Saccharomyces cerevisiae S288C: one gene and its partners. The gene in region 2 interacts genetically with the main gene of each other region. Each region holds a gene or a part of one and is shown on either strand. Other genes may lie near its edges.

Region 1 (6,252 bases), on a different chromosome or scaffold from region 2:
GTTCATACGGTTTGGCTAAAGTATTATCAAAACTGAAGTCTTCTTCTGAAGCATTCATGCCATCCTTATCGTAGCTAACTGGGGCTGATTTTGTTTTGGAGGGTGAACCATCCATATGCGGTACAAAATTATCAGATTCTGAGGCGGAATCAATATTCAACGGCAGCGTATTGGAGATGAACGATCTACGGGAAGAGCTGGACATATGAGAAACTGCTGATAAATGACCATCGCGATTATTTTTTTTATATAGAAAAGTATCATTGTTGATGTTTTCCTGGTTCATGGATATGTTGACATTACTTAGTCTCCTGCCATTGCCATCGGATTCACGTCGCTTAATGGTAGCATCTGAGACATTTCTTTTGGGATCTCTTTCCGGTATGGATTGTAACAAAGAAGCCCTTTTACTAGTATTGAAATCAAAATCGACCTCGTTCGTTGTATTCATTTCGCCATTATCCGAATTTGAGTTATACTTTCCGGGAGAGGGGAATTCTTGTGCGGTCACGTATTCATTGATATCAGTAGAGTTTTCTAGCTTATACATACCTGTTCTGGTATTGATGATTCTTTGCTTGGAGGGAGAATCACTAAATGTGGATGAGAAAGTCGACAAGGACGCTCTATTGGCGACTGCACTTTCACTTTCCAATTTAAGATCTTTTAAACCAGTCTCTAGCGCACTCGCAGGTCTTAAATTTAAATCGTCTGATTCATGTGAAATTTCCTCCTCTTCATTTGCTTCAGTATTTTTCTCAGCTCTTTCCTTTTCTTTTTCTTCTACTAGTGCTTCTCTCTCACGTAAAGATTTTTCCATTTCAGCTAGCTTCCTTTCTTTTTCCTTTAACTCGTTTTGTTGAGGAGTGGATAATTGCAAAACATTCAGTTTTCCCTTGTTTTCAATAGGTTGATCAATGTTCACTTGTTTTTTTAGTGGTGAAGATCCTTGTTTTGTAGAGTTAGGCATTGCTGTAGCATCAGTAGGAGATGACGGAGAGAATGTAGTCAGGGAGTTGTTTTGTACGTTCGGTATTGAATAAGCTGAATTATTCTTTGAGGAAATTGACGATTGACTGATTGGCTGTTTCATGGACACAGCTTTACGATCGTTGTCATTTGGTGACCATGGATTAAACCCTTGGGGAACGTTCTGACTTTGTAGAGACATTGTCCGATAGCCTTCAGACATTGGATGAAGTTGAAGTTGTTGTTGTTGTTGTTGTTGTCTTTGTGATATCTGCTGATGACCTGCGAATGGCCGAGGATTTTGGGGTGAATATCTTGGGCCATTAGTTAATGACAGAGTACGTGGTTGCTGAGGTGGCTGTTGTCCAGAGGGCATTACTGGTGGGGTATTCTGGAATTGACCTGGGTGATTGTTGTAGTTGTTCATCGGTAGCATTCTTTGTTGCTGCGGCTGTCGAAATTGTCCGGGAGGTCCACTCATCAACGAATTTGATCTCGAATAATTAGCGCTCACCATTTTATTCGGTTGAAATCTAGGATGAGGAGTGGGTGCTTGCATTAAAGGATTACCATTCGGGAAACTTTGCAAAGACATTGCTCTCGGAGGCAACGAGGCTAATGTACCATTTTTAGTTTGTTTAGCCATGGCATTCATTGCGGTTTTCCTTTGATTAGTAATGTACTTCCTATACTCAGTATTACTCATATTGCCGCGGTCTTTAGTCACCAATGTTGGAATGATAGGAGTGGAATCACCACCATATCCATATTTGTCACCGCCCTTGTGACCGAAGGTCTGAATGTCATTGAATGTTAGGTCGGAGTTTGCAGAATCATCCAAGATAACCTCATCGTCATCATCACCATCTCCACCACCTCCTGTCCCCTTAGTGTTTTTCTTTGACTTCCCAAATTGATGCTTATGTTTGAAAAAATTGGAAAATGAGCTCTGGGTAAATGAGGAAGCTTTCTTACCATTAACATTATCGCGATTATTGCTTAGTGATGGTTTGGTGAAGTTATGCTGCATGAGGGGAATCTCATTCATATGTGGATTGGAATACTCAAAATTATACTGTTGTTGCTGGCGTTGCTGTTGTGAATAATTCTGCATGGGAATTTGACGTTGTTGAAGTGGCGCTTGTATTGGAGCCTCATTCATGCCATTACGGTAGTATTGCTGCTGCTGCTGCTGCTGCTGCGGCACGGAAGAAGGCTGGATGTTAATATTGCTGTCATTCCCGTTCCTTGAAATAGGTGTTTCATCCCTAATGTCAATATTTCCTATATCATTATTCAAGAGGTTATTTCTCAATTTAACTCTAGCAGAAGACTGACCGTTTCTTGTTGCCATGGTCGATAAACCTGCATCCATTTTGAACTTTTTATAAATAGTCTTTGAGTACTTTTTATCCCACTGCTTTATCGGATCAGGCTGTACCTCTCTGCTCTTTTTGTAGGGTTATTAATAGCTCGGTGAAAATTAATGAAAGAAAGCTCCAAATTTAGCTATAGCCGTAAACTAAAAAAAAAAAAATTAGGAGGGCAGTCACTAAAACAAAAAATCAGAATTCCTATGCAATGTGCTGCTGACACAGTTACTTGAAATGCCTATTTATTCACAATTTGAAGGGTTTGCGATGCTGAAAGAGTTGTTCTATTCAGTCGCACGCGTTAACTCTTTGCATGTGCTTCATTTGTCCATAATTGAGCCCAAAATTTGATTTAAAAAAAAGGAATTTTTGAAAAAAAAAAAATATCAGGGGAGACCCTGAAGCGGACAAAAAAATTTACAATTGCGGACATTTACCCGGAAGCTCTGTGATATACTAATAACAGAGATAATTATGTAGTCAATTATGTATCTGTCTATGCTTTTCTTGACCTAGATTGTGCTTGAGTCCGTCTGGCAGTACTAGTGGATTTCCCGCTTTCTTGCTTGTCTTCGCTGTCTTCCTTGATGGCACTGTCGTCCTTTTTATTGGCATCTTTATCCAGCTCATCATTATCCTTCAATTTGACGTGTGATAATTCGTTTATAAACCAGATAACGGTAATCCATAGTAAAAGTGATATACAGAAAAGAGCATAGAAGTGGATATTCCCGTTTGTGGCATAGATGAGCCAGATGAGGGTCAGTAGTAGTGCAACAAAAGATACGTGTGTGGCGATGATCAGCTGGGGGGAGGTCCCTGGTTCAAATACACTTTCCCACAGTCTAACAAAAAAATTGGCCATTTTGAGAAATTTTCGAAGTTATATCCCTGCGATTTTTGGCACTAATCAATTAGATGGACGTGTTCTTGGATATGACAAAAAGAAAAGACCATCTCTATTTTTCTTCATTTGATTTTCAGTCAAGCAAAAAACGCCGGGTAAACGCAGTCAAAGAAAATTAAAGAACATCTGCTATACCCTACCATGTTCTTAAAATATGAATGCGCTATTCAGGTTCATAGGCAAAGTTTTCACATGTCACTCGCCAAATAAAAATCAAAATTGAAATATATAGGTAAATAGATTGATAAAAAGACGTAATTAATCACCTGTACATCTTCAATTGGAGTTTCTGAGACACCGATATCTAGGACGAAAGAAACAACGGTAAATGATGATACCGTGCTTCGAGCAGACAGGGTCAGTAATCATACCAACAGAAAAATTCTCTTTGGTATAAGTAACGGTGTTACTGCCGGAAATACTCCCGAGAAAAACAGAACCTTCACTGGTTTTAATATTCACCTCAATGTAAGTGATGGTCTGACTTTGCCCTTATAATTAGCAGCAGCAGGAGTGGCGACACCAGAGATTAGGCACTAGTGAGGAGAAGAGATAGTCTGACTGGCCATTTTAGTTAATGGATATATAGTTTCCCATCTATTGAAAGGAGTGGAAACTATAACTGAAAACTGGGTTCTTGAGCAGGAATACTGCTTGTATACTTTTCTTGTATTTCACTGCTTCCTGTCCGATGCGCTAGCACGATGGAGCTCGGCAAAGAAAGACAGAGGAGAGAAACATCCTGAGGATTTTGCTTTGTGCAGAAAAGGTTCCATCCCTGCAATAAGGGTCCTCTTTGCTGCGGAAATTCGAAGAAACGAGATAACCATCCTGGGTTGTAGCGACCTCATCACCACCTAGACCCCTCGGTATGCAGCCAAAATCCATTTGTGTTTGCCTAAGGCACGGAATGGGAAATAAAGTATTTTAGATTGCATACGCATTTTCCCTCTGGGTAGGGAGTTGGTAAAAAAAAAATAGACAGAGTAGATTCGTAATAACTTAAATGGCTAAAGCGTGGGTACATCAGTGCAAACAAATACGATATTACCGTACCAATTGCACACTTCTTGGTAAGAAAAACTGGGAGCACACCTTACCCATAAAAAAGTGCATCGTTATTCCCATGGATAGGAAGAATAAGAATATATCACTCCTGCCTCCAGAATAGTAAATCTGTTTTCTCAGTAAATTATCCCTTTGAAACCTTACTGGATTTGGCTGTCATTGGTCGTAATTGCCCACAATTGAGGTTGCATTCTAAATGTTTCTTCCAATCAAAAATCAGTTAGATAAGTACCTTGGATGCCATTACATCGGGAAGCCCCTTTACTCAGAAGCCCGTTAGTTTCTTGAGTACTCCGATATAATTCCCCTATTTCTACAAATGCTACATAAAAAAATGCTGTGAATAAAGTCGCTAACAACAACTACTTATCGTGACTTGTCTAAAAAAAAAAAAACCTACATTTCAGAGTTAAAATAAATCTAAAGGTGCCACTGGAAAGAGTTATATGCGAGCTCCAGGTTCATATTCAAAAACATGACATCTTACTTTCTCTCGCGGTTGTGACCTCCTTCAATGAATTTGATATTGCTAACCAACAATCATCAATATTTTTGTTTTACCCGTCTTCTCGTTTTCTGAACGTGACACTAGCAATGTCAGACGTTCATTCTCACTTTCTGTCACGTGCTCGCATTGCGAGCAAAAAAAGCCTTACCACCACTCGATTAATCTAATGAGTTGCTGTATTAATAAATAAATTTTTATATTAAAATATATTATAGGAAACATGCAATGGCCCAATTGGCCTAAATATATATAACTCCCACAAGTTCGCCCACCTCTTCATTGGTTTAACTAGGCGTCAACCGCGAGTCCATTATGATATGATTTTTATGTAATTTTTCTGTTAATCAATCGTTCCCTTTGATAGTACAATAAGCAGAAGGAAAAAAAAAGGCTTTTAGAAACTTCTTAAATACCGGTGCCTAGGACGAAAGAAACAGCAGCAAATGCGGCCATGATGATACCGTACTTCGAGGAAACAGGGTTTGCAACCATGCCTGGAGCAGCGTTCTTTGAACTGGAAGTAGTGTTCTTAGCGGCACTGGAACTAGCAGTAGAAGTAGCAGAGACGGAAGAGGCGGCAACGACATTGTTGGAAACTAAGGCACTGTTAGTTTTGATGGAGGAGGAAGCGGAAGCGGAAGTGGAAGTACTGCTGGCCATTTTTATTCAGGTTATTTGCGATTAGGTTGGGGTTTGTGTTTGATGGAGACCTCAGTAATTAACAGTACATTCTGAGAGCGGCAAACAGAATTCTGCCTTAAATTCAGATCGTTTATATACTTTTTTTTCACTTTTTACGCTCGAGACACCATAACCCAAAAATAGATCAAACTAGCCATTGTATTTTTCACCAATATGGCAATGTGATTTCCGCATTAGGCAATACTGTGAAAGACTCTATGCTACGTCAGTTCGGAGGCGTGTTTCGCAATCTTCGCGTTCCAGAACGCACCAACGCGTTGTTATTTGCGCAGCACAAGGGGGACGAGAGACATTCTGGCCAACGTGCATTCGACGGAAGTAAATTTCGGCTGGAGGCTAAGCGCTGCTTTACTGCAATTTGCATCATTACGGTGGCTCGCAGGGATAGATTGGGCGTACTGGTTTGTGGCAAAAACACCGCCTCCACGCTACCTTATTTGCCAGCCAACCGCATATTCAGGTTGCCAAAGGTACAGATCAGGAAAATGTTTCCCATTGGATGCGCAACTTTCCTTAGTAGGGAATATATAATCACTGCATTGCTGGTTTCGTACTGCCATCTTTGCGTTTAAAGTATAACCAAATTAATAAAGCGACTACGCCGCTATCCAAAACAGGCTCCTCCAGCTCCTTTAAGGAAACAAACGTCTTTTTTCTTTACTCTTATTTTTTGCACCGATTGCTAGAATACTTCTCCAATCTCTTCAAATGATGATACAAACATG
Region 2 (6,626 bases):
AGCTTTTGATATATAATCGATCGCTCTCGTAGTTGATATCCTCTCTCTTGCTTATCTTTTCCTGTATATAGTATATGTGTACATACAGATACGAATATACCTCAGTTAGTTTGTTTTAACATTAAATATTCAACAGTTGCCAGTAGCAAAAAGAATATATCCATTCATTTCGAGCTTTTTCGTCTCATTACTGATATCCAACTAACAGTCTCCTCATAGACGGTACCTTACTTTCCTTTAATATTATAATACTAGTATAGTCGCACATACTTAACTCGTCTCTCTCTAACACATAATGAAAATTTCCGCAGCTTTAATATTGTCTTCCCTTTCTTCTGTCGCATTTTCTGCCCCTGCACCTGCTCCAGCGGACAGTCACCATGAAGATCATCACAAAGATGAAAAACCAGCGGTTGTCACTGTCACTCAATACATAGATTCCAATGCCGCTACTAGTACTGTAGAATCTGCTGCTACTACCACTACATTGTCCTCATCTGAGAAGGATACCTCTGAACAGAAGCGTGATGGCGGATTCCAAGATGGTACTGTCAAATGTTCGGACTTCCCTTCTGTAAACGGTATAGTTTCCTTGGACTGGCTAGGATTTGGTGGATGGGCCTCTGTCATGGACATGGATGCCAACACTTCGTCCGAATGTAAGGATGGCTACTACTGTTCTTATGCATGTGAACCTGGAATGTCAAAGACTCAATGGCCTTCTGACCAACCAAGCGATGGTAAATCTGTTGGTGGTCTTTACTGTAAAAATGGTTACTTGTACCGTACCAACACTGATACCAGCGATTTATGTTCTACGGATGAAACATCTGCTAAGGCCATTAACAAAAAGTCTGACTCCATTGCTCTATGTAGGACGGATTACCCAGGATCAGAAAACATGGTGATTCCCACAGTGGTTGATGGTGGAGATTCACAACCAATTTCAGTCGTTGATGAAGACACTTATTATCAATGGCAGGGTAAAAAGACTTCTGCTCAGTACTATATTAACAACGCCGGTGTATCTGCAGAAGATGGGTGCATTTGGGGTACTTCTGGTTCGGATGTCGGCAACTGGGCTCCACTAGTGTTAGGTGCTGGTTCCACTAATGGAGAAACATACTTGTCGTTGATTCCAAACCCCAACAGTAACCAAGCTGCCAACTTTAACGTTAAAATAGTTGCATCCGATGGCGCTAACGTTCAGGGCAGCTGTGCGTATGAAGATGGCTCTTTCACCGGAGATGGTTCCGATGGTTGCACAGTTTCTGTTTTATCTGGATCTGCTGAATTTGTTTTCTATTAAGTCATTCTTCTTTTCGGTAAAAGAATGTCTTGTATTTTGATACCCTCAATTCCCCTTATTATTCTTTTTCTTCCGCTCTCTATTTATTATTATACATTGGGATTCCGTTATATTTTTCTCCTTTCAGTTCATTTTACTTCTTAAAAAGTTTCGTTGATCGCTATTATGCTATGGATTCAAAGATTTTCTTTTCTCTCTCTTCAAGGTGTACTCTGCATTACGGTTTTCTTTAGTTCGTTTATTTTTTTTTTGTTAACAAGGTGTTTGTATACATATATATAAATATATGGAAATATTATAGTGTTTATTTTGTTACTTCCTGCGAGTTGCAACAGAACTAACAAGATGCCATGCTGTTTTTTTTCATTTTTTGGCTATAAAAATAACAGTATCCTAGTCCTTGTGTTCGGCTTTAAAATGGAATTGCAAACCCCATAATTCCTTCTTCACACCGAACAAACCGCCTAGTAGTCGATTTTCAGAGACTCTAATGCTTTGAATATAAGTGAACCCTTTTTTCTTCAAAATTTCCTTAAGCGTGCTATCGAATGAGTAGACATCAATCAAGAGTTTCATGGTCTCCCCGTATTTGCCGCTGCTTCTAATATTTTTGGAGTGTAGCATAGCCCAATCAATCAAATCTTCGATAATGCCACTTTTTACATATACACGACGACAACCCACAGTAGTAACACTCATGACTAAATTTTCATCAGTACTTAATGTCATGTTAGGGGCTAACGAAATCAATGCAATGGGCGTTTCTCTATAAACGATGATATGCGTATTGTTCACCACTGGATCCTTTGTTTCATGTCTTGCCACCAAATCATTCAAATTGATGCCGAAAACTTTCTCACCTTTAGAACCAACAAGTTGGTTGATCTTCGACTTGAAATACGAGTCAGATACACGTGAGAGGAGGGTGAACAAGAAAGATGCACCAATTGCGGTGAACACTAAACCGCTGAGGACGACCTTCTTATTAATACGAGCCAGCTGGTAGAACCATCCAGCAACGGATCCTGTATTCCTTATCGGAAAGACAATTCTTGGCGTCAAGTAAATAAGCAGCCCAATGGTTAGAACAACAAGGATGACGGGATGGAAGAACAAATACTTATTAGCCAATGCCTGTTCTTGTCTGATGAAATCCGCGGACAAATTCAATGCAGCTGTACCATATTCTGGTTTCAAATTAACACTGTAAATAGTAGGAGGAGCATCAATATCAAGTGGTTTGTCTAATGATGCATCTACTTGTGGGACCGATGGGGCATTTTTATCGGACTTTCTACCCTCTTTCTTCTTTCTTTGTTGAACCGCCATTGTGCCACTCTTCCTACTCTTGTACTTTCGCTATGAAAAAATGTGCAACTGGAAGAGTCGTAATCAATCTAGAAAACTTAGTAAAAGTATGTGCTATATATCTATAAACATGAAAAGCTTTATTTGTGTGAGAGAGAAAAAAAGATGTTCTTTGGTCGTTATTCATTATAGTTTCCATAAAGAGCACGTGCGGGCGCGCTGGGTAATGCGGGTGTGAATTTTCAGTTATAGGTCAACTACAACAGCAGGTCGAGAGGGCTTCTTCAGAAAGCGAGAGGTCGTACCAGGGATGATGTTGCGGGAGCTGCTGTTGCTGCTGCTGATAATGCACCAGTGCAGTTGGACTGGGAAGAGCAAGTGGAACAGCCACCATCTGGATTTCCATTATTGGGTACATATTTGAGAGTGGACGCTCGATGCGATGTGGTCTTCGACGCCTCCGCTTCCTCTTGATGGCTACGATCCTCAGACGAGGCCGTTTGCGTCTCTTAACGTGTGTGTGTTGTATAATGGGAGAACAGGGTTGTCTCTCCTCGGTCTTGCGCTTTTTCACTCGCAATACAGCATGCCCAAGAGTGCAGAGCCTATCAATGAGATAATTGATTAGAATAGAATTTATCAGTGGGTCGACAATAATGAACCACTTGACAACGGTCTTGGCCGCACGTAAAACCTGTGTGGTGCGAGAAGCAACGAATCTGTATACAGTTGATACAGAACGTCGGATCAACAAAATGGGGCGTGATGAAGAAAAAAAGTGGCGATCCCGTGGAGGACATTGGTGCATGGATGATTCAATCATACAATTTACGACATTTAACCAAAGTTGCACTCTGATGGGCTCAACGACTGCTACTCGTGCCAATAATGAAACTGAAAAGCATGAAGCCATCACTGTTTTTTTCGTGGTCTTTCTATATATAAACAAAGCCTCTGTAAAGTTTTTTTTTTTCGCATAACAAACGCGCTTATCTGAGACATAACAACAGCCAACGACCGATGCCTGCGTGGAATAAACAATAATACGCTGCAGAGGATAAAAAGAGAGGTATCATGTCTATTTATTCTCTGCTTTTCTAATCAAATGTGTATTGTATGCTGAACCATGCCGGTTGGTTGCTTCTTCCGGTAATTGCATTCAAGTCCTGCAACTTTAAATGTCCTCTTATAAAGCAGGACGTGGCTTCAGAAACAAAAAATGTGTCGCCAAGAGAAAACAAGAACAGCTATCCAAGTCGAGCTGGGAAAGTAATCAGATTTTTGTATATGTATAGGTACTTTCTTGATCCGTAAGCTGGAACTTCTTTCATGATCTCTGTTATAGGAAAGCCAGAATAGAAAGAATCCGCCCGTAAAAAGAAAAATAAAGCAAACTCGATACAATTTCATGCAAGAAGGCCATTTGCTAATTCCAAGAGCGAGGTAAACACACAAGAAAAAATGGTCAAACCAATTATAGCTCCCAGTATCCTTGCTTCTGACTTCGCCAACTTGGGTTGCGAATGTCATAAGGTCATCAACGCCGGCGCAGATTGGTTACATATCGATGTCATGGACGGCCATTTTGTTCCAAACATTACTCTGGGCCAACCAATTGTTACCTCCCTACGTCGTTCTGTGCCACGCCCTGGCGATGCTAGCAACACAGAAAAGAAGCCCACTGCGTTCTTCGATTGTCACATGATGGTTGAAAATCCTGAAAAATGGGTCGACGATTTTGCTAAATGTGGTGCTGACCAATTTACGTTCCACTACGAGGCCACACAAGACCCTTTGCATTTAGTTAAGTTGATTAAGTCTAAGGGCATCAAAGCTGCATGCGCCATCAAACCTGGTACTTCTGTTGACGTTTTATTTGAACTAGCTCCTCATTTGGATATGGCTCTTGTTATGACTGTGGAACCTGGGTTTGGAGGCCAAAAATTCATGGAAGACATGATGCCAAAAGTGGAAACTTTGAGAGCCAAGTTCCCCCATTTGAATATCCAAGTCGATGGTGGTTTGGGCAAGGAGACCATCCCGAAAGCCGCCAAAGCCGGTGCCAACGTTATTGTCGCTGGTACCAGTGTTTTCACTGCAGCTGACCCGCACGATGTTATCTCCTTCATGAAAGAAGAAGTCTCGAAGGAATTGCGTTCTAGAGATTTGCTAGATTAGTTGTACATATGCGGCATTTCTTATATTTATACTCTCTATACTATACGATATGGTATTTTTTTCTCGTTTTGATCTCCTAATATACATAAACCGAGCCATTCCTACTATACAAGATACGTAAGTGCCTAACTCATGGGAAAAATGGGCCGCCCAGGGTGGTGCCTTGTCCGTTTTCGATGATCAATCCCTGGGATGCAGTATCGTCAATGACACTCCATAAGGCTTCCTTAACCAAAGTCAAAGAACTCTTCTTTTCATTCTCTTTCACTTTCTTACCGCCATCTAGATCAATATCCATTTCGTCTTCTAGCTTAGCGCTTGCGTCAACCAATAATTTTCTCTGTGTAGCATATTTTAAGTTTCTCTCGATTTTCTTAGCTCTCTTTTTGGAAAGTGTCCTCGTGGTGATGGAGGCCGGAGAAGATGAAGCATTTTGTAATGTCACAGCAGTGGAATTCTGACTTTCGTTCTTCTTGTTTTGGAAGTATAGGTCCAACGCTACTGATTTTATTTCCCCAGATTTCGAATTTACGCTGGATCTAGCTGGCTTCAAGAGACCAGCTCTTTCTCTTTGAGCTCTTTTCTTATTTAAAGAGTGCACCTTGTGGTGCAAATTTGAAGTCAGCTTAGGTCTGTTGATGGAGTTTTTAGAAGGCATTATGGGTTGGCTGTGCTAGTCTCTTCGGCAAGCACCTCATCGACTAATGCCGCCATAAGTTATAACCATATATTAATATTGATACTCTCTATGAAAATTTTAGCGAAAAAAAATTTTGCGATGAGATCATTCCAAACGGATTGACGCGTGGAAGAAACCGGCGATTTTCTGGTTTCTGGTTCTTTGATGGAAGTTGGACGAGACGGTGAAGAATAGAACAAGGGACAGGTTAACTAGACTCAATCGATTAAAAACATACATACTACCAGGGCAAAATGTCTGAAAATAAGAACTCTGAGGCTGAAGACGTATTTGAATTTTTAGATTCTTTGCCAGAAGCAAAGAATGGCGGGAAAATGGTTAATACTGACGTAAAGGGTAGCCAAGAAGGCGTTAAGGGAGGTTCTAATTCTGTGGCGGGCAAGACCGGGAATGATGGAAAGAAAGGTGACGATGATATCTTTGAATTCTTAGAAGAGTTGGAGAAGAGTAACTTAAGCTTAACTGACAAGAAAGGGGTTGAAAAGAAGGCTCCCAGTGAATCAGTTAATAATAAAGCACAAGACGAAAAAGTAGAAGAATCAAAAGAAAACAAAAATTCCGAGCAGGACGCTCACGGAAAGGAAAAGGAACCACAGCAGCAGGAGAAAGAAGAAGAAGAGGAGGAAGAAGAAGAAGAAGAAGAGGAGGAGGAGGAGACCCCATTGCATGACCCAATTGCTTCTATTTCAAACTGGTGGTCCTCCTCTGGATCCGCAAAGGTATCGAGTATTTGGAATAAAACTGCAGAACAAGCATCCCAGATCAAAAACCGACTTGCCCAAGAACAGCTTGATTTGACTTCAAAGATAAACACGAGCACGATTACTGAAATAGCCAGAAACTTACAGAAAATCGTTGTTGGTGAGACTGAAGAGGTGCTGCGAATTCATCTAGTCCATGATTTGGTTAACTATCCCTCATTACAATACAATATTGAAAGCAAGTTTGATCAAGTTCTAAGCTCACAAGTTGAGGGAGGAATCAGAATATTTGTAGATGAATGGGGCCATCCTAACAATAATGGAATTACACCTGTGGAAAAAAAGCCTTCAGTTGCAGACGGTGAGTTAGGCAACTCTAAAAAAAAATTACAGTTTAATCTATTCGACGGCAAGGTAACAGACGGTGAGA
Region 3 (8,994 bases), on a different chromosome or scaffold from region 2:
GATCTCCAACTATACCCAAACCTTGGACCTCATTGAAAAAATGTGTAGATATAAGCACTACAGTGCTGTACGGTTGGATGGTACAATGTCAATTAACAAAAGACAAAAATTGGTGGATAGGTTCAACGATCCTGAAGGCCAAGAGTTCATCTTCCTCTTAAGTTCTAAAGCAGGTGGGTGTGGTATCAATTTGATTGGTGCAAATCGATTAATTTTGATGGATCCGGATTGGAATCCTGCTGCTGATCAACAAGCTTTGGCACGTGTTTGGAGAGACGGTCAAAAAAAGGATTGTTTCATTTACAGATTCATATCGACTGGTACCATAGAGGAAAAAATCTTTCAAAGACAATCTATGAAAATGAGTTTGAGTTCATGCGTGGTCGATGCGAAAGAAGACGTTGAAAGGTTGTTTAGTTCTGACAATTTAAGACAGTTGTTTCAAAAAAATGAGAATACGATATGTGAAACACACGAAACATACCATTGTAAACGTTGTAATGCTCAGGGTAAACAATTAAAGAGAGCCCCTGCAATGTTATATGGTGATGCGACAACTTGGAATCATTTGAACCATGACGCATTGGAAAAAACAAATGATCATCTACTAAAAAACGAGCATCATTACAATGATATCAGTTTTGCATTTCAATATATTTCACATTGATCTCTTACATACATGTACTTATAAAACAAAAACAAAAAGTAGAATTCGATCGTCGGGGGGTCATTACATATTTATTTTAAATGATGGGCATGGTTATATATATTTAGACGTAATAAACAATTGAAAATTGGGGCCAAATTGGTAAATATCTCTATGTATTTCAATCAAAAAAGTATAATCGTATAACTTAAGGGTAAAAAAAGTTGAGCGATGTCATATTATACTTGTGCTAGCTTTTAAATTTTTCATTATCTTCAGTTTTATCGTGGTAAAGTGCCAGCCGAAACTGCCAAAAAAGATTATGGCAAGAAAATCTCACGCTGTCAGGGAAATAAAAATCTGATACAGTTTCACACTCTCAGAAGGATTAACTTTAACTATTACCTAACACCAATATCTGAAGAGAATGGATGAAATTCTTGCCAAAGCAGGTTCACAAGCCGTTACATTTGCTATAAAATCCGGAATATCGATAGCATCCACATATGCGCTAAAGACAATAACGAACTTTGTCGTCCAGATTCCTAAGGATGATGCTAGAAGAATAGATCAACTGAAATTTAAACTGGAAAGCCGCATGGCTATTGTATCCAGTGCAATTGACCTAATAAAGCTGGTAGCGGCGAGGGGAAACACGAATTTGCAAATCACTCTGAGGTTAACCAAGGATTTAAAAGAAGAGATTGATAGGTTTGATGAGAAGATCAACGAAATGACGCAGAAAGTTGAGGGTTCCAGGAGCGCAAAAACACAGAATGAAGCTATTAAAGCGGTAGAAAACTATATAAAGGACTTGCTATTGAGGATCGAAGAAATCACTCCATTCATTAATCTTTCTTTAACCACTTCTGGTGCCAACTTGAACAGCGCACTCCCATATCAACTTTCTCCTGGTTTATTATTAAAAGCCTCCGATTTCGTTAGCGAGAACAATAGAAAGTATGAAAAGGCAATGAAGAGTAATGAGAAAGGAACAGGTGACAAGGAGATTCTAAAAGTTCAAGTGGGGCCTACATTTGAGGTTACACTATTCTCTATTTTCTATAACCTAACTTCAGAAAACAATGGGCAATCAGGAATTGTTTGGAAAGAGGATATGAAACGTGCAAAAGCAAGGATATATAGATTGAACTCTACAGGCAGAAAGTATGATTATTTTATGAAAATAGAACAAGACTTCAATGACGGTAGATATCATGAGGATGATGACAAAGAAGACACACCACAGGAACTTGCCATAGATCTGAACCATATTAAGAAGCTGTTTTTCAGTGTTTCCGGTAAGCTTCTCCGATTAGAAGAACAGGATTCTCCAGTGTTGGTATTGAAGATTGACCGGAGCGATGACAAAGAAAATGAGAGCAGTGAAGGAGACAAGGGATTACTCGATGACATTACTTGGTATGCGGTAAGCGGATATGAAGCGATAGAGGAAGATGAAGAGGAAGATGAAGAGGAGGACGAAGAGGAAGGAAAAGACGGAGAAGAACGAAAGGAAGAAGAAGAAGAAGAAAATAAATTGGAGGACAAGGATTCGTCGATCACACTACTGGAGTACATCATTCGGCTGACGTCCTTACAAAGTAACGATCAGAAAAGTATATTGGAAGTGAGTGATGAAAGGTTATCTATATATTTGAACGATGAAAATACGAACTCCAGAAAGGATAGAATAAGCAATTCGACAATTGAAGAGACAGAAAAAAAGTTAAAAAACCTAAAACTTTAGGATGGTTACGTATCCTGTGCAGCCTTGGACAAATTTTATAATTGTATATATCTATGTATATGTATACGAATGGAAAAATTTATCCGAATCTCGGCCCGACTGCCAGCTTGCCGGGAGAACAAACAACCGCCAATATATGTATATGTATATTTATATAGATGTCCAGATGCATTATTGTGAATGTGAGTTATGCGAAGATACTTGTTTGTATAGCTCGTTCAACTCATTGATGGAGAATGGAATGTCAATATCGTTTAGTGCTGTGTTCGTAGTTGTATATGCGCTTCCTGTTTCATTGATACTAACAGGTTCCATAGATATACTAGGGCTTTGCTCAAGCGGATCGAGGGAAGCCAAATCAAGATTGTCAATGCTGTCGGCCTTAATTTCTCCGTTTTGCAGAGGTGGCTTCAAACTCGGCAATGTGGTTGTCATGTCTACATCCGACGAGCGACCATTTAGGCCCAAAAGAACGTCCAGATCTGCAATACCGAGACCATTGACATGCGCTGCTTCATCATTTGCCCTTCTGTGGCATGACCCTCCCTTTGATTTCCGGCTGCTTTTCCTCTTGGTATGACATTTACAAGGTTCACCCTCATCACAACGACATCGTGTTTCATCTTCCTTGCTGCCAACAGCTGGCCGTCGTGCAGAGGCACACATGCACCCACCGGATGGGTTGAAGTTCTTGGTTCTTCTCAGCTCTTTACAATGGCCACATGTGGTCGATGGTCTTCCCTTGCGTCTGATCATCTGTAGCGGACCATCAGTGTGAGTACACTGCGCCGCCCTGTGACCCCTGATACACGTTTCACAGGCATATTTGACCCCGTTAATTACGACCATTCTGTGAATACACTGATTATCAGTCCTCTTTTATCAAGCCGCCGTCTAATAAATTACATCGCCATGGCTACTGCTATTTCGTCCACAGCTTAATACTTACCGAACCAGGCCTTGCGGCTCTTACCCTGCGTGCCCGCGCACCCTGGCGACTTCGCCTCGTTTTGGCGATTTTCTTAGCAAATATTCTTTCACGATCGTAGTGGTGGAAGGTGGGTGAAAAGAGTTGCGTTCCTAGCAAGGATCGGTTGGTATCAATTGCACGTTCAGCTCATCCCTAGATAACCACTTAACAGCAAAGCCGATCGTTAAACTTTTGTATTCTACATTCTAGTTGCATTTTTTTTTTTTTTCATTTTGTTACATCAAGACAAGATTCTCTATTTAAAGAAGTACTTTTTTTGTTAACAGTGTGGACCCTACCTATCGTTATATCGAGATCTTGTTCCCTAGGCCATCGTACACTATAGCCCTTCCTTCAAGCACTTAATAGAAAAACCTCTTTTTCTACACCATCATAATAGTGTTTGCTCGCCCCGTTCTTTCCATTCCCATTTATAACAATACTAGTAACTATAATAATATCCTTACGACTGGGCAAGACAAGACGAAGCAAGGCCAGCACAGACGTAAGCTTAAGTGTAAGTAAAAGATAAGATAATTATGAGTGACAATCCATTTAATGCGAGTCTTCTTGACGAGGACTCAAACCGTGAGAGAGAAATACTAGATGCCACAGCAGAGGCCCTTTCGAAACCAAGCCCTTCTTTAGAGTATTGTACTTTATCCGTGGACGAAGCTCTAGAAAAACTGGACACTGACAAAAACGGTGGTTTACGATCATCTAACGAGGCCAACAATAGGAGATCACTTTATGGCCCCAATGAAATAACCGTAGAAGATGATGAAAGTCTTTTCAAGAAGTTCTTGTCAAATTTCATTGAGGATCGAATGATTCTACTTTTAATAGGATCCGCAGTGGTCTCTCTTTTTATGGGTAACATTGATGATGCTGTTAGTATCACACTGGCCATTTTCATAGTTGTCACTGTCGGTTTTGTCCAAGAATATAGGTCTGAAAAATCTCTAGAAGCGTTGAATAAATTGGTTCCTGCTGAATGTCACTTAATGAGATGTGGTCAAGAGAGTCATGTACTGGCTTCCACCTTGGTTCCTGGTGATTTAGTGCACTTCAGAATAGGTGACAGAATCCCCGCAGACATTAGAATTATTGAAGCAATCGATTTATCCATCGATGAAAGTAATTTAACTGGTGAAAATGAACCGGTACATAAAACCTCACAAACGATCGAAAAATCTTCCTTTAACGATCAGCCTAATTCAATTGTACCGATTTCTGAGAGATCTTGTATAGCTTATATGGGTACATTAGTCAAGGAAGGTCATGGTAAGGGTATCGTCGTAGGAACAGGTACAAACACATCCTTTGGTGCCGTTTTTGAAATGATGAATAATATTGAAAAACCGAAGACTCCATTGCAGTTAACAATGGACAAATTGGGAAAGGACTTGTCACTGGTTAGCTTCATAGTTATTGGTATGATTTGTTTAGTTGGTATCATACAAGGTAGATCTTGGTTAGAAATGTTCCAAATATCGGTATCCTTAGCGGTTGCTGCTATTCCAGAAGGGTTACCAATTATTGTCACTGTTACTTTGGCATTGGGTGTTCTGAGAATGGCCAAGCGTAAAGCCATCGTGAGAAGGTTACCAAGTGTCGAAACTTTAGGCTCTGTCAACGTTATCTGCTCCGACAAAACAGGTACACTAACCTCAAACCACATGACCGTATCTAAACTTTGGTGCTTGGACAGTATGTCCAATAAGCTAAACGTCCTCTCATTAGACAAAAATAAGAAGACTAAAAATTCTAATGGAAATTTGAAAAACTATTTGACTGAAGACGTTAGGGAAACTCTAACTATCGGTAATCTCTGTAATAATGCATCTTTCTCTCAAGAACATGCCATATTTCTGGGAAATCCTACTGATGTAGCTCTTTTAGAGCAATTGGCAAACTTTGAAATGCCTGATATCAGAAACACCGTTCAAAAAGTTCAGGAACTTCCATTTAACTCGAAAAGAAAATTAATGGCAACCAAGATTCTCAACCCTGTCGACAATAAGTGTACAGTTTATGTTAAAGGTGCATTTGAAAGAATTCTTGAGTACTCCACAAGTTATTTGAAATCAAAGGGTAAAAAAACTGAAAAGTTGACTGAAGCCCAAAAAGCTACGATAAATGAGTGCGCAAATTCTATGGCATCTGAAGGTTTGCGTGTCTTTGGATTTGCTAAACTAACTTTGTCTGATTCATCAACTCCTCTAACCGAAGACCTAATCAAAGATTTAACCTTTACTGGTTTAATCGGTATGAATGACCCACCAAGACCGAACGTTAAATTTGCCATCGAACAATTACTACAAGGTGGTGTCCATATTATTATGATCACTGGTGATTCTGAGAATACCGCAGTAAACATTGCAAAACAAATTGGTATTCCAGTTATTGATCCAAAGCTTTCCGTTTTATCCGGTGATAAATTAGATGAAATGTCAGATGATCAACTGGCCAATGTCATCGACCACGTTAATATTTTTGCTCGTGCTACGCCTGAGCATAAGTTAAACATTGTTCGTGCATTAAGAAAGAGGGGTGATGTGGTAGCAATGACTGGTGATGGTGTTAACGACGCTCCTGCGTTGAAACTTTCAGATATTGGTGTTTCTATGGGTAGAATTGGTACAGATGTAGCCAAAGAAGCCTCAGATATGGTCTTAACTGATGATGACTTCAGTACTATTTTAACTGCCATTGAAGAGGGTAAAGGTATCTTTAATAATATTCAGAATTTCCTGACTTTTCAATTGTCTACTTCTGTTGCCGCACTATCATTAGTTGCACTATCTACAGCGTTTAAACTACCCAATCCACTGAACGCAATGCAAATTCTTTGGATAAATATTTTAATGGATGGGCCACCAGCTCAATCCTTAGGTGTGGAACCTGTTGATCATGAAGTTATGAAAAAACCTCCAAGAAAACGTACCGATAAAATTTTGACCCATGATGTAATGAAACGTTTACTAACCACCGCGGCCTGTATCATCGTTGGGACAGTTTACATTTTTGTTAAAGAGATGGCCGAAGATGGTAAAGTAACTGCTAGAGATACTACTATGACATTTACTTGTTTTGTTTTTTTTGATATGTTTAATGCTTTGGCCTGCAGACATAACACAAAGTCAATCTTCGAAATCGGCTTTTTCACGAACAAAATGTTCAACTACGCCGTTGGACTGTCTCTGTTAGGTCAAATGTGCGCTATATATATACCATTTTTCCAAAGTATCTTTAAAACTGAGAAACTTGGTATCTCTGATATACTATTGTTATTGCTCATCAGCAGTAGCGTTTTCATCGTTGATGAATTGAGAAAATTGTGGACGAGGAAAAAGAATGAAGAAGACTCAACGTATTTCTCAAATGTTTGATATGTCACATTTTGTGCTTTTATCGTTTTTCCTTCCTTCCCTTTATCTTTCATGAGGACGCCCAACCCTATTGAGGTAAATGTACTAATTAATGGGAACATATGTAGATGTATATATGTACATATATTTACAACGGATACTAAGATAAACATGTATGGGCGACTTTTCGTATATACAAAGCAATATAAAATTTTATTCTTTCCTTCTTTTTCCGGACTAGATATAAAATCTCCGTAATCAGTGGTTATGATTTTCAAAAGTTAATCACAGTTTTATTTAAAACTGTATACAATTATTTGCAGCCGCCTTTCGCAATCTGTTCATAACAGCTAATCCTTCTCCTTCCTCATTTATACCTTCGACAAATATTAGGTCTACTTTATCATTTTCATCCACTTTTCTTAAAGCTGCAAACAAGTTAGTCTGTATTTCTTCACCAGATTGGCCAAGTCTTTCGATGATGAAAGTTTTCGAAGAAAAATCGGGTTCATTAAAGATCTTAGATTGTAAGTCGGAATCACGTAATTTTAGGGAAGTTAAAATCGCAATTTTTTTTATATTACTGTTGGCTTTTAATTCCGTTTCGATTAACCTCTTTAATCTTTCCATCCTATCAACGCCCTTAAGAATGCCATCGCCTTCGCAATGAGGAACTAGTAAAACAACTTTAGCTGAAGGGGAATAGTGTCTATACTTCATACCAGGCGTTCTTACCTTTTCGCCCTTTTCAACTGTTTTCTTATTCTCAACTTTACAAAGAGACCAAGCTTCACCACCCAATTTAACAATTTCTTCATATGTAAAACCGCCAGGTCGCAGTAGCGTAGGAGGATTACATAACCCATCAACAACAGTACTTTCTACACCAACCTTGCACGCTCCGCCATCAAGAATTATGGGAATTTTATCCTTTAGATCATGATAAACATGAGACGCTAAAGTAGGAGATGGCCTAGTAGACGCATTCGCTGAAGGAGCAGCTATTGGTGTATCGCTCAGGGCAATCAGTGCTCTAGCCACTGGATTAGCGGGTATGCGTACCGCAAACGTAGGCTGATCTGCGGTCGTTAACTTTGATAATGCACTATGCTCTGAAGATGGAACTGGCAAAAGAATTGTTAATGGGCCAGGCCAAAGGCTTGAAATTAATGGGCGATAGATTGAGGGTATGTTATCAAACAAGGATGTACCTGATAGATGCGGTTGATTAAAGACCTTTCTGTTAAGTTGATCAATGGATGAAACATGTGTAATCAAAGGATTGTCACTAGGCCTATTTTTGGCCCTGTATATACTAAGCACTGAATTATCATTTAAAGCAGAACCTCCAAGACCATAAACAGTTTCGGTTGGAAAAGCCACAGTCTCATCTGTATCTCTTATTATCCTCGCCGCTTCAACTAGCGCTGCTTCCGTTTCAGGATCTGTTATCGTTGGTAAGGAACCATCTATATGCGCATCAGGGGAGAAAATGATTGATAGCGGGTTAACTTTTAAGATCTTGGTATCAAACAGTGCTTTCGATGTCATTGCCAAAAAATGTCGTCCAAGGTACATACAATTCTAAAAATGGAATAATAAACAGGACTACCATTAAAAATGGAAACAGGTTTAGTGGTAAGTTAACAGCGCAGAAGAAAAAAAAAATTTGAGGAGAAGAATAAAGCTCTCGCTTCAAATATTATCAGCTTCAATAGGTATGTGCGATGAGGTTACTATCTTCTGGGTGAAAAAATAGTAAGGCTAGCGTAGATAATGATTTGAAATTTCTCAAAAAAATATTTTTGATACATATAATAATTTTGAAGCCTGAATTTTTCAACGAAATAGCCTTGTTGGCGCAATCGGTAGCGCGTATGACTCTTAATCATAAGGTTAGGGGTTCGAGCCCCCTACAGGGCTATCTTTTTTAGGCTCAAATCAAAAAAATGTCTAATATATTAAATTCTACTTCCTTTTTATATCTCAAAGAAGAAGGCATTTAACCCCATTCATATGGTTTACACTTGTGTTGAGATTTGTTGCTTGCGCTTCTTTTATCCTTTTAAACCGCTTATTTATCCTTTCCAACGATAAGGCTCAAATGACATCAATGTTCTCTTTTGTGTCACAAGAAATATAAATAACAACAATAAAACATTAGGTATTTAGTTGGAAGTCAAACTTGAAACTCTTCCCGGTTATGTTGTATTGGCAAGGAAAGAGCTGAATTGGTTGAGTGATGGGAGCTGGCACT
Region 4 (8,711 bases), on a different chromosome or scaffold from region 2:
TATATGTATATATATAAAGGGAGGAGTTTTTAATTATAATTGTAATTTCGTATTTTTTCTGCATTATACAGTTTTTTCCGATTTTAAACGACTTTATTTAAGTGTCGTGTAAATATGTCACATTTTATTTTTGTACGTATTCACATGTCCTGGCGTGCGGCCATTGCTGAAAATCGCAAAACCCACAGAGAAATAAACATCGCGAAAAAGTCAATGAAAAATTGGAAAATATTTTTCATTTCACTATTATCCACAAGCAATTTTGTACAAAGTGAAAAGGTTGAACTAATTATCTTCGTCTAGAAGCCATGAATTCACTCGTTACTCAATATGCTGCTCCGTTGTTCGAGCGTTATCCCCAACTTCATGACTATTTACCAACTTTGGAGCGACCATTTTTTAATATTTCGTTGTGGGAACATTTCGATGATGTCGTCACTCGTGTAACTAACGGTAGATTTGTTCCAAGCGAATTCCAATTCATTGCAGGTGAATTACCATTAAGCACTTTGCCCCCTGTGCTATACGCCATCACTGCCTATTACGTTATTATTTTTGGTGGCAGGTTTTTGTTAAGTAAGTCGAAACCATTTAAATTAAATGGCCTTTTCCAATTGCATAATTTGGTTTTAACTTCACTTTCATTGACGCTTTTATTGCTTATGGTTGAACAATTAGTGCCAATTATTGTTCAGCACGGGTTATACTTCGCTATCTGTAATATTGGTGCTTGGACTCAACCGCTCGTTACATTATATTACATGAATTACATTGTCAAGTTTATTGAATTTATAGACACCTTTTTCTTGGTGCTAAAACATAAAAAATTGACATTTTTGCATACTTATCACCATGGCGCTACTGCCTTATTATGTTACACCCAATTGATGGGCACCACATCTATTTCTTGGGTCCCTATTTCATTGAACCTTGGTGTTCACGTGGTTATGTATTGGTACTATTTCTTGGCTGCCAGAGGCATCAGGGTCTGGTGGAAGGAATGGGTTACCAGATTTCAAATTATCCAATTTGTTTTGGATATCGGTTTCATATATTTTGCTGTCTACCAAAAAGCAGTTCACTTGTATTTCCCAATTTTGCCACATTGTGGTGACTGTGTGGGTTCAACAACTGCCACCTTTGCAGGTTGTGCCATTATTTCTTCATATTTGGTACTATTTATTTCATTTTACATTAACGTTTATAAACGTAAAGGCACCAAAACCAGTAGAGTGGTAAAGCGTGCCCACGGCGGTGTTGCCGCAAAGGTTAATGAGTATGTTAACGTTGACTTGAAAAACGTTCCTACTCCATCTCCATCACCAAAACCTCAACACAGAAGAAAAAGGTAAGTGTAAAATCTTTGAAAGAATTTAAGTATTCAACTTTCGTATATTCGTTTTTTCTTAGTGGATCTATTGTTACTATTATCACTATTATTATATTGTAAAAGACCGGATGGTTTTGTTATATATTACATACACATGTTATCGTTGAAAAAAGTTTTCCGTTTCCTTTCGACAGTCATCAGATAATTTTATCCGAGTCTTTTATATGTTAAATCTTGTTGACAAATCGTCCGCTCTAACCCTAGATAACAACAATGATCTTTTTATCATTTCTGGCGTTATTTTAGCGCCTCCTCCCACTAATGTTAATTGCTTATAGTTACCTGAAGGAGCAGCGAGGATGGAGATCGTACTGTGTATACTTGTTTCTTCCGCTTCAGTATCTAGGTCTGCTATTAGCACAGTGTTCAATTTATCCATATCAATGTCCACTTCCTCTTCTTCAGAGTTATCAGAGTTTTGTAATTGGCATTCGGGGTCTAACTCCACTATCCCATAATTTGAAGCAAATGCAATATTCTTTGCGTTTATCATTAACGGTACTGACTTAGTTTGGTCGCAAATAATTTCATACGTTTCTCTTATGGTGGCACTTCTTCCTCTTGTTCTTATAGTCATTCTTAAATCGGACGCACGCTCATCTATAAATGCTCTAGGTAACTTTACGCTCTGTAAAGCGTACATCAAAGAATTCCAACACAAATCGAAGACTGGACCAGTGCGACTCAAGACTACAATTTTCGCATACAAAACGTATGACCATTTTCTTTTCATTTTCAGGTTTGTTTCATTCAGCGTATCATCTTCTAATTCATCGGGATACAAGACGGAAAACGTACCGTCTTCATTCGCACTACGAACACCAGCTTTTACCTTCAAGGCTTTTTTAGGCAATATCCTAGAGTGCAATATGGAATCGTGTAGTTTTTGTGATATAGTCATTTCTTCATCGGTGCAAGCGCCCACTCTACCTCTTTCAACTTCCACCACCGGATAGACAGAAGCATAATTTGCAATTATGTCCTCCTCTTTGGTCACTTCGAACAATTCTTCCTCACCGAAATCATCCAAATCTTTAATCGCGGCGCTAGTTTCTTCTATTATTCCACCCGTAATAGAAGTTATGACTATGGTTTTCCCACTTTTCAAAACATTTGAGCCTAAAATGTTGTTTTTAGTGTCTATATTACCAGCATCCGCATAACGCGATAAAGTATTATTTTCTATAGCAACATCTCTAAATTCTTCATATTTTCTTAGACATGGCCTGATTCCTAGGGATAAGTGTCTTTGTAAAGACAATTCTGGAGATATTCTCGCAAGAACTTCAGGTGGAAAAGTAATTGGGTGTATCTCAATAGTTTCTAACGTGGTACTTTCAGCCATTTCCAATATTAGATGCCTGTGAAACTACTGTCAAACTTATTTGTGTAACAATACTCATCGTCTAATTTGTCCATTATTGTTATATACTCTGTCATAAAAAAAGAAAGAAAAATCTTATACTTTCGTCGACTGTGATTTGAAAATCTCTCCAGATCAAACGGGAATAAAAGGGTTTATATCCGAAGGTGGCCAGAACAATCATGAAGCAAATAGGATAAAAATAGCCAATAAGATGTTTGTTGTCTTTCATCCCAAAGTTCCAACAGCATATTTCAAAGATGGGTATTACAGTAATAGGTTCTCTAAACTATGATTTGGACACATTTACGGATAGATTACCTAACGCTGGAGAAACTTTCAGGGCTAACCACTTCGAAACACATGCTGGTGGTAAGGGATTGAACCAAGCTGCGGCCATTGGTAAATTAAAAAACCCCAGCAGCAGATATAGTGTTCGAATGATTGGTAATGTTGGAAATGATACATTTGGTAAACAATTGAAGGACACTTTATCCGATTGCGGAGTCGATATCACTCACGTCGGTACTTACGAAGGCATTAATACGGGTACCGCTACCATACTAATTGAAGAGAAAGCTGGTGGCCAAAATAGGATATTGATTGTAGAAGGTGCTAACAGCAAGACTATTTATGACCCGAAACAGTTGTGTGAAATTTTTCCAGAGGGCAAGGAGGAAGAAGAGTATGTTGTTTTTCAACACGAAATTCCTGATCCTCTTTCCATTATTAAATGGATACATGCGAACAGGCCGAATTTTCAGATCGTATATAACCCCTCACCTTTCAAGGCCATGCCTAAGAAAGATTGGGAGTTGGTAGACCTTTTGGTCGTTAATGAAATTGAGGGTCTTCAAATCGTGGAAAGTGTATTTGATAATGAACTTGTTGAAGAAATAAGGGAGAAGATAAAGGACGACTTTTTAGGAGAATATCGTAAAATTTGTGAGCTTTTGTATGAAAAACTCATGAATCGAAAGAAAAGAGGAATTGTGGTTATGACTTTGGGTTCGAGAGGGGTGCTTTTCTGTTCGCACGAAAGCCCTGAAGTACAATTCCTTCCGGCTATTCAAAATGTTTCGGTTGTTGATACTACAGGAGCTGGAGATACTTTCCTGGGCGGTTTGGTTACTCAATTGTATCAAGGAGAGACCTTGTCTACGGCTATAAAGTTCTCTACATTAGCTAGTTCATTGACCATTCAAAGAAAAGGTGCTGCTGAAAGCATGCCACTGTATAAAGATGTTCAGAAAGATGCATAAAATCTACTGCAATTTTTTACTTTTAGTTTGTTAAATTTTAGTTTTCGTCATATATATAAAGTTTAAAAAGGTACAAAGAATGCAGTAATAAGAAATGTAATTACATGAGGGCAGTTTAAGTGCTACCTTTTAAGACGGAAGAACTAATACCATAACCGAGAGTAATTACGCAGACAAACGCTAACAACGAAGCAGGAACACCTCTGGAGATAAAAGCGCCTACAGTTAGCCATCTATTACCCTTTTTATCGGTCATAGAAATAGCAGTAACGTTTGGAAATCCAGATGAAGCCAACCCCATACCGCATGAGGCTAACAAGGCGCAACCGAACACAAGAATTGGAGCTGCCTTTGGATCGGATAATTTGTCACCAACTTCTTGCACCAAGGGAATAATGATGATTGCTGACACAGTATGTGAGACAAAAGTGCCCACAACTAACATTAAAATACCGAAAATACATAAGATAGCAAAAACACCATCGTTCTGAATTTTCTTTTGTAATGCTCTTGCAATAGTTACCAACAAGCCTGAAGATGAAACTGCCTTACCAAGGGCTATACCACCCATAGCAAGAACAACAATTGACCAAGGGAATGTGTTGAAATCCTTTGTTGATAGTAGACCTGTACCAAAAAACAGGACTATCGGTATTACTGCAATTTCACCGGACGATCCAAAAGCACTTTCTATTTGTGACTCTACACACCATAGAAGAATAGTAGCAATAGTTACAATGATGATAAAATATTGCTTTATAGTAAATCTGGTCCTTATTGGTTTAAATTTTTCCAGTTTAGTTTTGCCTATTTTAAAGGTGAGTATCATCAAGGCCCAGGAGCACAGCATCGATAGAATACCTGTAGGCAGAGCGACAGCAAAAAATTGCCCCCAGCCGATTCCATAAGGTTTTAAGTACTGCATGGAGATGATATTCTGTGGCGAAGAAATAGGTGAAGCCATACCACCAATATCTGCCGAAAGTGCAACACCCATGACTAATGCCTTAGCAAACGGTGAAGTGTAGTCCAGCGGATCTAGTAAGGGTGTTAATAGAGAATATGTCAATACTGGGGAGGCAACGTTGGAAATCCACATCGAAAGAAAGAATACAACACTCATTGCCATTAAAAGGACATTTCTTGGCTTGGTACCTGCAAGGGCCAATAACCACGATGCCAAAACTTTCGCAACGTTATATTGCGACAAGGCTTCACCCAATGTGAAACCTGCTAATAAAATCATAATTGTTGACGACCACATTGTACCTAAGATTTCTGTAGAGGCAGCTGCTGCTCCCATTACCTTACCGTCATCGTCTTTTAGTACCCTAAAAAGGACAGTTAGAAGGGGAACCAATAAACCTGTGATGTGTAATGGAATGGCTTCACTAGCCCATAAGAAAGCACAGCATTCTACCAATGCCATACACCGGTGTTCGACAGGGTCATTGAAAGTTTTAACACCCAACAAAACACCTGTGACAATGATAATGAAGCCTATTTTCATTGCTCTTTTCCCAAAAAATAGCTTAGGAACTGCCAAATTTTCAATTTTAGTAAACTTCAAATTAATTGGCTTAGGCAATGGATACTTGAAATATTCAATTTGAAGCTTTTCTTGCATAAGTTTCTCAGCTTCATCTTCAATAGTTATTATATCGTTATTTTGCGAAGAGAGGCCCAACATGTCTTTCCATGTGTTGCTTCTTTCCCAAACAATGTGGTCGTGCAGGTACGACTTTAACTCTTGCTTGCATGAATCTACGTTCCCAGGCTGACCCATGAGAACAGCATAAAATTCAATAAGTTGTGCAATTTTACTGTTTAAACTGCTTAAAGTTTCATGCTGGAAGATGTAGGTGTCTTTGAAAAATTCTTCACTTTCTATTAATTCTTGCCTAGTGTTCATGTGCAATACTTTATCAGACTTCTTAGTAATTTTACTGAAACCCATTCTGTTCAATTCGATAAAAGATTTCAACTGGCAAAGGTCTATGTAAAGATTTATTATTGTCTGTTTTAATAATGACTTTTTCTGAGATTTAATGTTAAATTGCGAATAATTCAAGAGGGCGGTATTGTCGGTAGTGTCAGCAAACACGTCAACGTCATCATCTTCATCCATTTCTTCTTCGCTGTAATCAAACCTATTTCTCAATTCACTGTCGATGTTTGAAGAGTGTATTTCAAATGGGTTATTAGATGAATGTGTCTCTGATGTACCAGAAATAATTTCTCTTAAAGGAGGCAATGCTTGAATTTCAGGATTGAAAGTTTCATTCAATCTTGTTACAATGCCTTCCTTCTCCAAATCATTAATCAAGTGGTCAAATCTTTCATAGAACTTAGCTTCCATTCTTTTGTAGAAATCATCTACTTTCAATTTCTCGTCGCTCAGGTTAGTTACGAATGTATCATAAGAACTGAAGAGCGTCTTTCCCTCGCTACTCACAGATGAGCTGCGTGATTCAAAGAATTTCTTACGTATAAAATTCTTATTGAAAGAGGTGGTTTTCCCTTGAGGAGATAACTCGTCTAACTCAATTGTTTCCTCGTTAATATTGTTCCCATCTATGGCCTTTTCGTCGGAGTCTCCCCTTTTGCTTCCTGAAGGTGTTTTAGAACCAAAGAGCTTACGCTTGAGTTTATGTGTAAATCTTCTTTTCGATGAAGATGGTTCTCCTGCAGCTATGTTGCTTTCTATATCAGCGATTGGACCTGGAGTCTGAGAGTCAGCGTCATCGTTTAAGTCACCGGTTGGCGTTTCTTGTTTCAATTCATCTGTCTGTAATGTGTAGATCAAATTTTTCAATTCGTTATAATCTAGGTAATGATTCTGCCATTCAGGGACAGCGTTGTATTTGAGAAAGTGTGAGAATCTCATTTCGAGGCACAATAATAGCCGCCTTTACCGTAGTTTTGCTGCACCTTTATCTGAGAGCTGACTGCTTTTTTGGTGTGAAACACTGTTTTCTGGTAATAATTTTTCAATGCATCGGATTACTTTTCCCACGTGCGAAATCATCAATTAATTAGATTGAAAAAAGGGTAAGGGAAAATAAGAAAGAGGCGGTAGCCTAAAGATACGGTAATTGAAACGTTTCCTATGCACAATCTTAAACCTTTTTAGGTAATTGATTAAGTTGACTGTAATATCTGTAAAAGATTACATCTAATTTACGTCTGGTTTCTTATCAAAAAATATTATCTACTGTAGTTATGCAAGTATTCTTAATTTTCAGTACTAAACATGAATATTAATTATTTGTGAGCGTACAAGAAGCAAAAGGAAGTCATCTTTCTTTGAACAGTTCTGTTTTTAGGTAAGCCTTGGAACCTTAGCTATACTGACTTGATACGCCCTGTCTTTGTTGTCGTTATATAAAGTGTGCACCTTTATCATAGCCCCTAATAAGCTTCTTGCAGTAGTATTTGAACAGTGTATATCTTCATATTGCTTTTGTTGTAAATATTGCGCAAAAGCGACTATCTTTGTGATTTGGTTGAACTTTTGCATATTCACGTTATTACCATCTTTAGTGAATGTATCGTTTCCGTCTCTTATGAAGGTAATGTCCCTGATAAGCAGTGATGTAAAAGGTACACAAGGAAGCTGACTGTGGAAAATATGTTTAATTGTTCTTCTATAAACGTTGTAGTTGTTGTTTGGATGTACGACGACTTTTAGGCGCTGAAAAAGGTGGTCTGATTTAACATCTATCGGGAGAGATAGTCTTTCTATTGAATGATTTTGCAATGATGTAATGATTGAAGCAAGTGAGTTTAAGTTTCGTAAGTATAGACAAGACAGTGCAACTTGTAACCAGTAGGAAATGGTGTGCGTTTGCTGCAAAGTTGTCTCAAGAACGTAGGACGATAACTGGTTGGAAAGCGTAAACACGGAGTCAATTGTTGTATCGTTGTGTTTGAAATGTCTTGTGAATTCTATTGTTTCAATATCCAAGTAAAGAGAAGATTCTAAGAGAGTCAATGTCTTTGCAAGTGACCATGGAGATACGTTTAGAGCGAAGGCTTCGACTTCTAGAAGTTCACCCTGTTTCCATTGGAAAAGTAAATCACTGAGGTCAGTTGCACCGCACAATTCATCATTTGCGTTCGTTTTGTCTATCTCGTATTGGAGAAATAAGTTTTCGTAGTCCAGGGGCGGTTTATTTTCTTCGATTTCCTTATCAGTTAGACCAATGTAATGAATCTTCAATTGCCTCGTTCTTTTTTTGTTTATAAACAGCTGAACTATGTCTGCAAACAGTTCTTGGTATTCATAATATTCAGCCAAGTGACTGTACCAAAAATTGAGGATATCTTTTAATGTTGTCTCACTATCTTGCCAATAAGACTCTACCCAGATTTGTATTAGACGAGGGACGGAGTGATTTTTGTGTTTGTTTTTATTAATTGTGGGATAGGATAGTAGCAACTCTTGGAGGAGAGCATTGTCAGTTGTCCAGTCTCTGAAGTTAAGTAGTAAGTTTGCGGAGTCAAAGGGGGATGGCTTTTGCCATTTGTGAGAGTTGTGCGGCAGCATCTTATTCAAATAGAGCTGTATTCTGAAGACCTCTTGTAGAACATCATCCATACTAAAAAGTAAATCGTCCTGTCCCATTACGAGCTGTATTAGTGCTGTGACCCTCTGTATATTTACGTTGCCATGAAGAAGGTAATGGGCGATATT

Evidence for each region.
Region 1: mutations in PHO86 (region 2) and PKR1 together harm fitness more than expected from each alone (negative genetic interaction), as found in Saccharomyces cerevisiae (3 studies listed by BioGRID).
Region 3: mutations in PHO86 (region 2) and PMR1 together harm fitness more than expected from each alone (negative genetic interaction), as found in Saccharomyces cerevisiae (4 studies listed by BioGRID).
Region 4: of PHO86 (region 2) and PHO87, changing one enhances a phenotype caused by changing the other (phenotypic enhancement), as found in Saccharomyces cerevisiae (4 studies listed by BioGRID, with this or other methods).

What each region holds. Positions count from the first base shown.
Region 1 is NC_001145.3:510,548-516,799, reverse strand, and holds PKR1 (Pkr1p), read right to left. Parts: upstream 3,208-6,252; coding exon 2,839-3,207; downstream 1-2,838. Other genes in the region: EPO1 (Epo1p), read right to left, coding at 1-2,344; NCW1 (Ncw1p), read right to left, coding at 5,231-5,485; YMR122C (uncharacterized protein), read left to right, coding at 5,725-6,099. UniProt on the Saccharomyces cerevisiae protein: Functions together with the other V-type ATPase assembly factors in the endoplasmic reticulum to efficiently assemble the V-type ATPase membrane sector V(0).
Region 2 is NC_001142.9:188,543-195,168, reverse strand, and holds PHO86 (Pho86p), read right to left. Parts: upstream 2,639-6,626; coding exon 1,703-2,638; downstream 1-1,702. Other genes in the region: SUN family protein NCA3, read left to right, coding at 296-1,309; YJL118W (uncharacterized protein), read right to left, coding at 2,871-3,530; ribulose-phosphate 3-epimerase RPE1, read left to right, coding at 4,079-4,795; ALB1 (Alb1p), read right to left, coding at 4,926-5,453; DUF5427 domain-containing protein MTC1, read left to right, coding at 5,729-6,626.
Region 3 is NC_001139.9:185,380-194,373, reverse strand, and holds PMR1 (Ca(2+)/Mn(2+)-transporting P-type ATPase PMR1), read left to right. Parts: upstream 1-3,905; coding exon 3,906-6,758; downstream 6,759-8,994. Other genes in the region: DNA-dependent ATPase RAD54, read left to right, coding at 1-667; YRB30 (Yrb30p), read left to right, coding at 1,074-2,396; CUP2 (Cup2p), read right to left, coding at 2,568-3,245; HUR1 (Hur1p), read right to left, coding at 6,578-6,910; SUA5 (threonylcarbamoyladenylate synthase), read right to left, coding at 7,035-8,315; SPO74 (Spo74p), read left to right, coding at 8,980-8,994. UniProt on the Saccharomyces cerevisiae protein: This magnesium-dependent enzyme catalyzes the hydrolysis of ATP coupled with the transport of calcium. Has a role in the secretory pathway.
Region 4 is NC_001135.5:190,284-198,994, forward strand, and holds PHO87 (SPX domain-containing inorganic phosphate transporter), read right to left. Parts: upstream 6,903-8,711; coding exon 4,131-6,902; downstream 1-4,130. Other genes in the region: fatty acid elongase ELO2, read left to right, coding at 309-1,352; exosome non-catalytic core subunit RRP43, read right to left, coding at 1,551-2,735; RBK1 (putative ribokinase), read left to right, coding at 3,014-4,015; Ras family guanine nucleotide exchange factor BUD5, read right to left, coding at 7,338-8,711. UniProt on the Saccharomyces cerevisiae protein: Involved in the uptake of inorganic phosphate.